2 linked regions of the Rhinolophus ferrumequinum genome follow. Each later gene encodes a partner of the first gene's protein in a complex. Links are inferred from orthologs where the notes say so. Each region holds a gene or a part of one and is shown in the gene's direction. Other genes may lie near its edges.

Evidence for each region.
Region 2: the proteins of TNNT2 (region 1) and TNNI3 are in contact, whole or in part, in a crystal structure (PDB 4Y99), measured with the Homo sapiens proteins. The link is inferred for Rhinolophus ferrumequinum from reciprocal best matches to the Homo sapiens genes TNNT2 and TNNI3. Residues at the interface, in NP_001263274.1 of Homo sapiens: Glu214, Lys217, Lys218, Ile221, Leu222, Arg225, Arg226, Lys227, Leu229, Ile231, Asp232, Leu234, Asn235, Glu236, Leu239, Arg240, Ala243, Lys244, Leu246, Trp247, Ile250, Tyr251, Leu253, Glu254, Ala255, Glu256, Lys257, Phe258, Asp259, Leu260; in NP_000354.4 of Homo sapiens: Arg68, Glu71, Lys72, Ala75, Leu76, Arg79, Gln81, Pro82, Leu83, Leu85, Leu88, Gly89, Phe90, Leu93, Gln94, Leu96, Arg98, Leu100, His101, Arg103, Val104, Asp105, Val107, Asp108, Glu109, Glu110, Arg111, Tyr112, Asp113, Ile114.

The regions. Positions count from the first base shown.
Region 1 is NC_046310.1:962,148-965,888, forward strand, and holds the start of TNNT2 (troponin T, cardiac muscle), read left to right. Parts: upstream 1-1,201; 5' UTR 1,202-1,265; exon of another isoform or gene 1,266-1,374; intron 1,375-3,741. UniProt on the Homo sapiens protein: Troponin T is the tropomyosin-binding subunit of troponin, the thin filament regulatory complex which confers calcium-sensitivity to striated muscle actomyosin ATPase activity.
Region 2 is NC_046298.1:48,372,819-48,376,559, reverse strand, and holds the start of TNNI3 (troponin I, cardiac muscle), read left to right. Parts: upstream 1-1,113; 5' UTR 1,114-1,267; coding exon 1,268-1,278; intron 1,279-1,552; coding exon 1,553-1,565; intron 1,566-1,696; coding exon 1,697-1,783; intron 1,784-2,215; coding exon 2,216-2,257; intron 2,258-2,562; coding exon 2,563-2,694; intron 2,695-3,082; coding exon 3,083-3,172; intron 3,173-3,741. UniProt on the Homo sapiens protein: Troponin I is the inhibitory subunit of troponin, the thin filament regulatory complex which confers calcium-sensitivity to striated muscle actomyosin ATPase activity.

The DNA.
Region 1 (3,741 bases):
GCTTCAGCTCGTCCTGCCACTGATCTGCTGGCAGCGTGAGGGCCATGTGGCAGGGGACACGCCTGGGGGTGGGGAATCAAGCCATTGGGCTCCAAGGCCACTGGGGCCCCTGGAGGGGACGGTTTCAGTTCAGTGATGGGGCATAGGCGGTGGCCTGTGGGGACTCAAGGACGTCAGCAGAGGGCGCAGCGCAGTGTCCGCGGGCAGCAGGGTTGAGAGAAAACAGGACTGGAGAGGCTGGACACATGCTCAGGCGAGGGGACGAGGAGGCAAGAACGGGCGGGGAAGACTGTGTGTGGCCACAGCGAGGAGTGCGGTCACTGATGAGCGAGAGGCCGGGGGTCCAGGGAGGTGTGAGCCTCGGCCAGGGTTAGGACAGGCCTTGAAGACTCAGAGGTCAGGGGTGGCAGCTGAGCTGCCATCAGTCACGCTTTCCTCCTCTCGTTCGTTTTCCGCACGTCCTGAGCCCTGAGGTGTCCTGGGCACGTTGCTCGGGGCAGTGGACCTACACTTGCCAGCCAACGACAGAACCCCTCGCGTGTCTCCCCGTCGGTGGGTTCAGCCTGTCATGGTCCTGTGCGGCTGCGTGTCACAGCCCTACAGGGTGACCCCAGGGCCTCACGGCCCCTCACACAGCCAGCTGCCTGTCCACGGAGCCACCACGCTTGACTGGAAGTTCTACCTTCTGTCTGACCTCCTGTAGCGGTTCTGGTCTCTTCCCAGCGAGCAGGGCTTGTCATGTGGCTTTGGGGTCGTGGAGAAGACCCGCTTTGCACATGTCCTCACGAGGCCTTCATCCTGCAAAGGCCACTCAGCCCAGGAGAAGACCCCCGGTCCAGACACTTGGGAATTGTCTTGGAGGCTGATCCTGTCCCCAGCCCTGCTCCCAGCATCCTTCCCAGGCTGGGCCGCTGGCATCTGCTTTATCACGATTGTCAAGAGGGACAGCTGGTTTATGTCACATGCCGCTCCCTCCTCAGTTCCCCACATATCTGCTTTGGTTTTAAATAGCTTATCTGAGCAGCTGGATGACCACATGGGCTTATATGGCGTGGGGTACATGTTTCTTTAGCCCTGTCCCCGGCACCTGACAAAATAGCAGCCAACACCCTCCCCTCCCACGACCACCAGCCGCCCGCCCCCTCCCCCGCACATTCCTCCCCCGAGGCTCGGCTCCAACGCCCCACGCCCCACGCCTGCTTAAAGCCCTGGCACCCCCGCCCTCCCCCACTCCCTGTCCTGGTCTGGCAGCAGCTCGTTCTGAGGTAAGACTCGCTAGAGGGGGAGCAGAGAGTAGAGGGAAGAGGCCCTGCGTCCCGGCACCTGCATCCAGCCTGCCTGCGTCCACTCTGAGGGACGTCGGCGTTGACAGAGGTGCTTGTTCCCTCCGAGAGGAGGCCACGCTTTGGAGGAGGTGTTACAGGGGTGGGACTCCAAGGACAAAGGCTCAGAGCCTCCGTTAGCAACTGGAGACTGGGTTTGAGTCCCGGATCTGCCAGTGAAGACGTTACGTACTTGGTTAAGTCTTAGGTAACAAGCTCCATCCTTGGGTCTCAGTTTCCTCATCGGTAGAAGGGACTAGGTCATCGCTGGGGCTCTGCCTGCCCTAAATACAACAGGGACGCCACAGATTGTTCACCCCCTCCCTCCAAGCTGAGGGTCCCTCCCCAAGCTTTCAGGCAGGTCCTTCTTTATCCTCAGAGAACGGAGCGAGACTGGCCATATCAGGCAGGGCGGTCCTGGGGCCAAGTCTCATCTCCAGGAACGCAGAAACTGCCCGGCAAGCATGGAGAAGGACCACAGTCCAGAGCTGGCAGGGACCCGGAGGCCTCTCCCAGCTGGTGGTGAAGTTCATCCAAACTCCCAGACTCAGAGTGTTAGGCTGAGCAGCACTGGGGACTTGGGGGACCCCTCTGGGAGGTCTTTGCGGATCTGTGAGCCCAGCCCGTTGGCTTAGAGGGTTAACCCTGAGTCTAGCTGCCCCCCCACCCCGTAGGACCATGGGGAGATAAACATTCCCTTGATTTTCCAGCTTCTCTCGGGCAGGCTGAGAAAATATTTGGGGAAGGGGTTGCCTGGAGTGTAAGGAATTCCAAGCACATTCCAAGTGTGGAGCAGCTGGGCCACCTGACTTCTGAGCTCCTCCTCTGACCTGTCTCGTAGGGCGAGCCCTGAGCCCTCGGGGCAGAAGAGGCATCTCAGATCATCAAGGTCCCCCCTGCCCCGCCCTCCTTCCTGCAGCTCCCACTCCCCTGTCCCATGGCTCTCCTGATGGACTAACAGCTTCAGGCTTAGGACGATCCCAGCTGAACGTTGGGGACAAATGCTGAGCGATGGGGTTACATTCCTTAGAAACTCAGAGACTTTCTGCAAGATTAGAACTTGAAGCTCATCTGTTTTACAGATAGGCTACTGAGGCCCAGAGGTTAAGTGACTGAACAAAGGTCACACAGCAAAAAACCCAGCTGTTTTGACCCCATGGCCAGTGTCATTTCTGCCATCTATTGTGTTTGCTTTAGTCCCCCAGGAAGGTGACCCTGCTCTTGGCTGTCATACAGAAAGCAGTCTGTGGAAGCAGGTGGGGCGTGGTTGCAAGGACAGTTGCTTTGGGACATTGTCACACTTGCTCTGCCAGATTCTTGATTGTCTCCTATTCTGGAACCCCCAGCTCTGTCTGTCACCTGCCCCTTCCTCAGTTCTGCCTTTGGCCAACGACTTGGCCACGACCTCCAAGTGGCCGGGAGGCTATTTCTGGATGCTGGGTGGTGCTCCCAGGAGCAGGAAGAAGGGTCCTCCTGCTGCTCCCTCCTCTGACCCAGGCCCAGGCCCAGTGGCTTGGAGGCTGTGGGAGGCAGGGCAGGAGAGGAGAGAGGATGCCACAGTCCCCGCACGCCAGGCTGGCCGTGCACAAGCCCCCTGAGAAACGTCTCCCTCCTCGCTGAGGTGACAGACTCCTTCCGGGTCTGGGAGCAGCCCCCCCAGTTCTCAGACATGGTCCCCTGGGGCCCGGGCAGTGCTTTTCTGTCACAGGCTCCCCACCCGCTCTGGGCTGGTGGCTCTCTGGCCAATCACCCTGATGAGGCGGACCTGGTGCGCTTCGCCCAGTTCCTGCGCGGTAACATTTGCGCAACTATGTTACAAGCCCCAATTAGGATGCAGACATTGTTACTGTCACGACCTTACTCAGCTCTCCCCAGCTCCATGGGACTGTGTGTGTGTGAAATTCTACACAACTTGAACCTGGGAAGGTTCTAAGGCCAAGCCCTCGTGCCCCTTTTATTACTACGCCCACCTCCCTCCCACCCTCCACACAGCCCCTGAAGACCACCAATCTGTCCCATTTCAAGGCTGTTTTAGAAATGGAGTCATCCAAGTTGGCTGTCCCCCATGAGCATAATTGCTTGGAGAGCCACCCAGGGTGTTGTGTGTGTCAGTGGCTTGTTCCTCTTTGTCGCTGAATGCTATCCCATGCTGTGGTCGTACCACAGCCAGGCGACTGCTCCTCCGGGGAACTCCTGGCTGTGACGGGCAGACCACATGGAGCGGGGTCGGATGGGGGGTGGGTAACACCTGCTTCCCTGAGCACTCTGCAGGATGGAGAGGTCCAGAAGCTTTAGAAACATTGTTTAGAGAGTTCATGTTTTGAACGGAGCTATGAAATTCCAGTTTGTCTGTTCTGGGGCAAGAATGACCTGGACCACTGTCACCCTTGCTGTGACGTGGGTGCCGGAGGAGGCCCGC
Region 2 (3,741 bases), on another chromosome or scaffold:
GGAAGGGGTCAGAAGTGGTTAGAAAAGGAGAGCCAACATCAGATTTCTGGGTTTCCAAGTAGACTAGGAGTGGATTTCCTGGTGCTGTCGCTTGAGTGCCTGAGCACCCCACACTTGGATCCTCAAATAAATCAACAAAATACATTGAGTTGCTGACAGCTTTGGGGCACTGAACCTAACCATAAGATGAAAAACAACGAAGGACAAAGCTCCTGCCCTCATGGAGATTGCAGTTTAGTGAGGGGAGAGGAGCCCAGACGCCTGGGTCTGAAGGAGGAGGGGCTGGGGGCCTGGACTCCTGGGTCTGAAGGAGGAGGGGTTGGGGGCCTGGACTTCTGGGTCTGAAGGAGGAGGGGCTGGGGGCCTGGATTTCTGGGTCTGAAGGAGGAGGGGTTGGGGGCCTGGACTCCTGGGTCTGAAGGAGGAGGGGTTGGGGGCCTGGACTCCTGGGTCAAAGCTAAGGGGCCGGGGGCCTGGACTCCTGGGTCTGAAGGAGAAGGGGTTGGGGGCCTGGACTTCTGGGTCTGAAGGAGGAGGGGCTGGGGGCCTGGACTCCTGGGTCTGAAGGAGGAGGGGTTGGGGGCCTGGACTTCTGGGTCTGAAGGAGGAGGGGCTGGGGGCCTGGATTTCTGGGTCTGAAGGAGGAGGGGTTGGGGGCCTGGACTCCTGGGTCTGAAGGAGGAGGGGTTGGGGGCCTGGACTCCTGGGTCAAAGCTAAGGGGCCGGGGGCCTGGACTCCTGGGTCTGAAGGAGAAGGGGTTGGGGGCCTGGACTTCTGGGTCTGAAGGAGGAGGGGCTGGGGGCCTGGACTTCTGGGTCTGAAGGAGGAGGGGCTGGGGGCCTGGACTCCTGGGTCTGAGGGAGGAGGGGTTGGGGGCCTGGACTTCTGGGTCTGAAGGAGGAGGGGCTGGGGGCCTGGACTCCTGGGTCTGAAGGAGGAGGGGCTGGGGGCCTGGACTCCTGGGTCAAAGCTAAGGGGCCGGGCTGGATTCCCAGTCCACCAATGTGGACGGGTGATCCAGCTGAAGCATGGCCCATCCCACCCCTCACGTGCCCTGTTATCTCGCATCCTGGGCAGAGGGAGGAGAGGGCAGCAGTATATTTAGTCTCTGCCTTCGCCCTTTATCAGTGTCCTCAGTGAGGCTTGAGCTGCTCAGACGCGACGAAGTCCCAAGGGTCTTCAAGGTCACCCCGGACGCCCCCTCACTGACCCTCCAAGAGCCTGTTGCCCTTCTCTGCCTTTGCAACACTTGGCTAGAGTCTCAGCATGGCAGACGAGTGAGTGAAGCTGGTAACCCGGTCTCCTGGGTCCCTGGGAGGGGTGAGAGCTGGGAGGCTGGACCCCTGGCCTGAGAAGGGAGGTGGAGACAGGACTCCTGGGAGTCGGAATGGGTTAAGAGTTTGGGAATCACACTCCTGGGACCAGAGTCGGGAGAGCTGGTGGTCAGACCTCTTGGTCAGAGGGGCTTCTGGGGTCCCTTAGGAGAAGGACTGGACAGGACAGTAAAGAGGCCCAGCATTAACCCCCCTTTCCTGGTTTCTCTCCCTTCAGAAGCAGCGATGCGGTGAGAGCAGGCGTGGGCCGGACCCGCGGGCCGGGGGAGGGCGCTGCCGGGAGGGCTCTGGGGCGGGAGGCTGGAGCATACAGGGGAGCTGGGGGTCCTGGTGGTAATGCGGCTCCGTCCCCCCAACCCAGGCCGGGGACTCGTGCCCCGCGCCTGCTCCGATCCGCCGCCGCTCCTCCGCCAACTACCGCGCTTATGCCACCGAGCCGCATGCCAAGGTGAGGGCGGGGCCAGTGCGGCGGGCGGGGCAAGGGCGGGGTCCGGATTCAGACTCTGAGGTGGTTTACTCGTACCTTGGGAAATGGGGACGGGGCCAGGTCCTTAATAGAGGCGGGACTTCAGTCATTCACGGAGCCAAAAGGGATGAGGCGCTTTGGATGGGGGGCGGGGGGTTCTCAAGGGGCTGGGATCGGATTGTCAGAGCTGCCTATGGGCGGGGTTCCGTTGTCCAGGGGAACTACGATTGCTTAGGGAATATTGGGCCCAGATTGGTGGATGGGACTGAGGGGCGTAGCCTCACGTAGACCTAGGGCTGGAGTTGGAGGCGGGCCCAATCCTCGACCTGACTAGAGGTGGTGGGTTCTTAAGTCCCTCCCACCGCCCACCTTCGGATCCCCCTTCCTGATCCTCTCTCTATCTCACCCTGGCAGAAAAAGTCTAAGATCTCCGCCTCGAGAAAACTGCAGCTGAAGGTGCGGACGGGCCTGGAGAGGGCGCCTAGATGTCCTTGGGTGGCAGAGCTTGAAAATTGGGGCGGGGCTTTGGATTGTCATTGGGCGTGGCTTGAAGTGGTGCGTCTTGGGGGCGTGACTTTGAGGTGGGGAGCCCAGCCATAGGAGAGGCGGGGCCTTGGAATGATGGACCTTGAGGAGGCGTGTCTCTGGAAGACCAAGGACCCCGCCAGAGATTAGAGGGAGGGCCAGACAGAGGGGGCATCCCCTCTGCGACTTCGAACCCCTCACCCCGGTGGGCTGTGGTCCCGGCGTCCCCTCTGCAGACCCTGATGCTACAGATAGCGAAGCAGGAGCTGGAGCGGGAGGCGGAGGATCGGCGTGGAGAGAAGGGACGCGCTCTGAGCACGCGGTGCCAGCCTCTGGAGTTAGCCGGGCTGGGCTTCCAGGAGCTGCAGGTACCGGCCCTAATCACGGACTCCTGCCCAGCCCGGGTTCCGAGGTTCCTCGTGTCCGATCTTGCATCCTTGGGAGTTGGGTACAGTCACTATTGTCCCCCTTCTGCTCAGGACCTTGGGGTCCAATCTCCCAATCCTTACCCTCACAAGTTCAGAAATATGGCCTGCAGCTGCAAAAAATCCAGAGGTTGCTTTTTCCAGCCCTAATTCTGTCAGATTCTCAGGACTCCTTGCTCTAGAGTTCTGCTTTGTTCTCAGTTCCTCAGAATTCAGCTTCAGTCTACTCCTTCAGGACCAGATGTCCAGGTCCCCAGATATTCCTCCCTCAGACCCAAGAGTCCAGGTCCCCAGGCTCCCCCCAACTACACACACCACTTTCCTTCACCAGGACTTGTGCCGACAGCTTCATGCCCGTGTGGACAAGGTGGATGAGGAGAGATACGATGTGGAGGCAAAAGTTACCAAGAACATCACGGAGGTGGGAGGCACGGGGCAGTCTGGTTCCCTTCAGGGTGGGGTGCAATGCCTGGGGCTGTTGTCAGCCTGGTCCCTTGCAGCTGCTTGTGGTTAAGGAGACCCATGACAACTCTGTCAGTCTAGTAGGGAGGGGGCAGAAGGATGACTTCAGTATGGCCAGGCAAGGCTGTTTCAGGCAGAGGGAACAACACATGCAAAAGCCAGGATGTAGGACAGCAGAAAACATGTTTGTGAAAATACAAAGGTCTGACATTAAGTTCGTGAACTTGTTGCAATTATGTTGTTAATCTTTTTTGATATCAGATGGATTATTATGAATTTGTACCAACTGGACAAACAGTTAACCAAGTTTACTATGTGGAAGTGCTGAAAAGGGGGCATGAAAAAGTTAGTTAGGTGACCTGAACTTTTTGCCAACAATTCATGGCTCTTGCATCATGACAATGCACCAGCTCACACGGCACTGTCTGTGAGGGTTTTTTTGTTTTGTTTTGTTTTGTTTAATTTTATTGGGGAACTGTTTTTTCCAGGACCCATCAGCTCCAAGTCAAGTCTTTGTCCTTCAGTCTA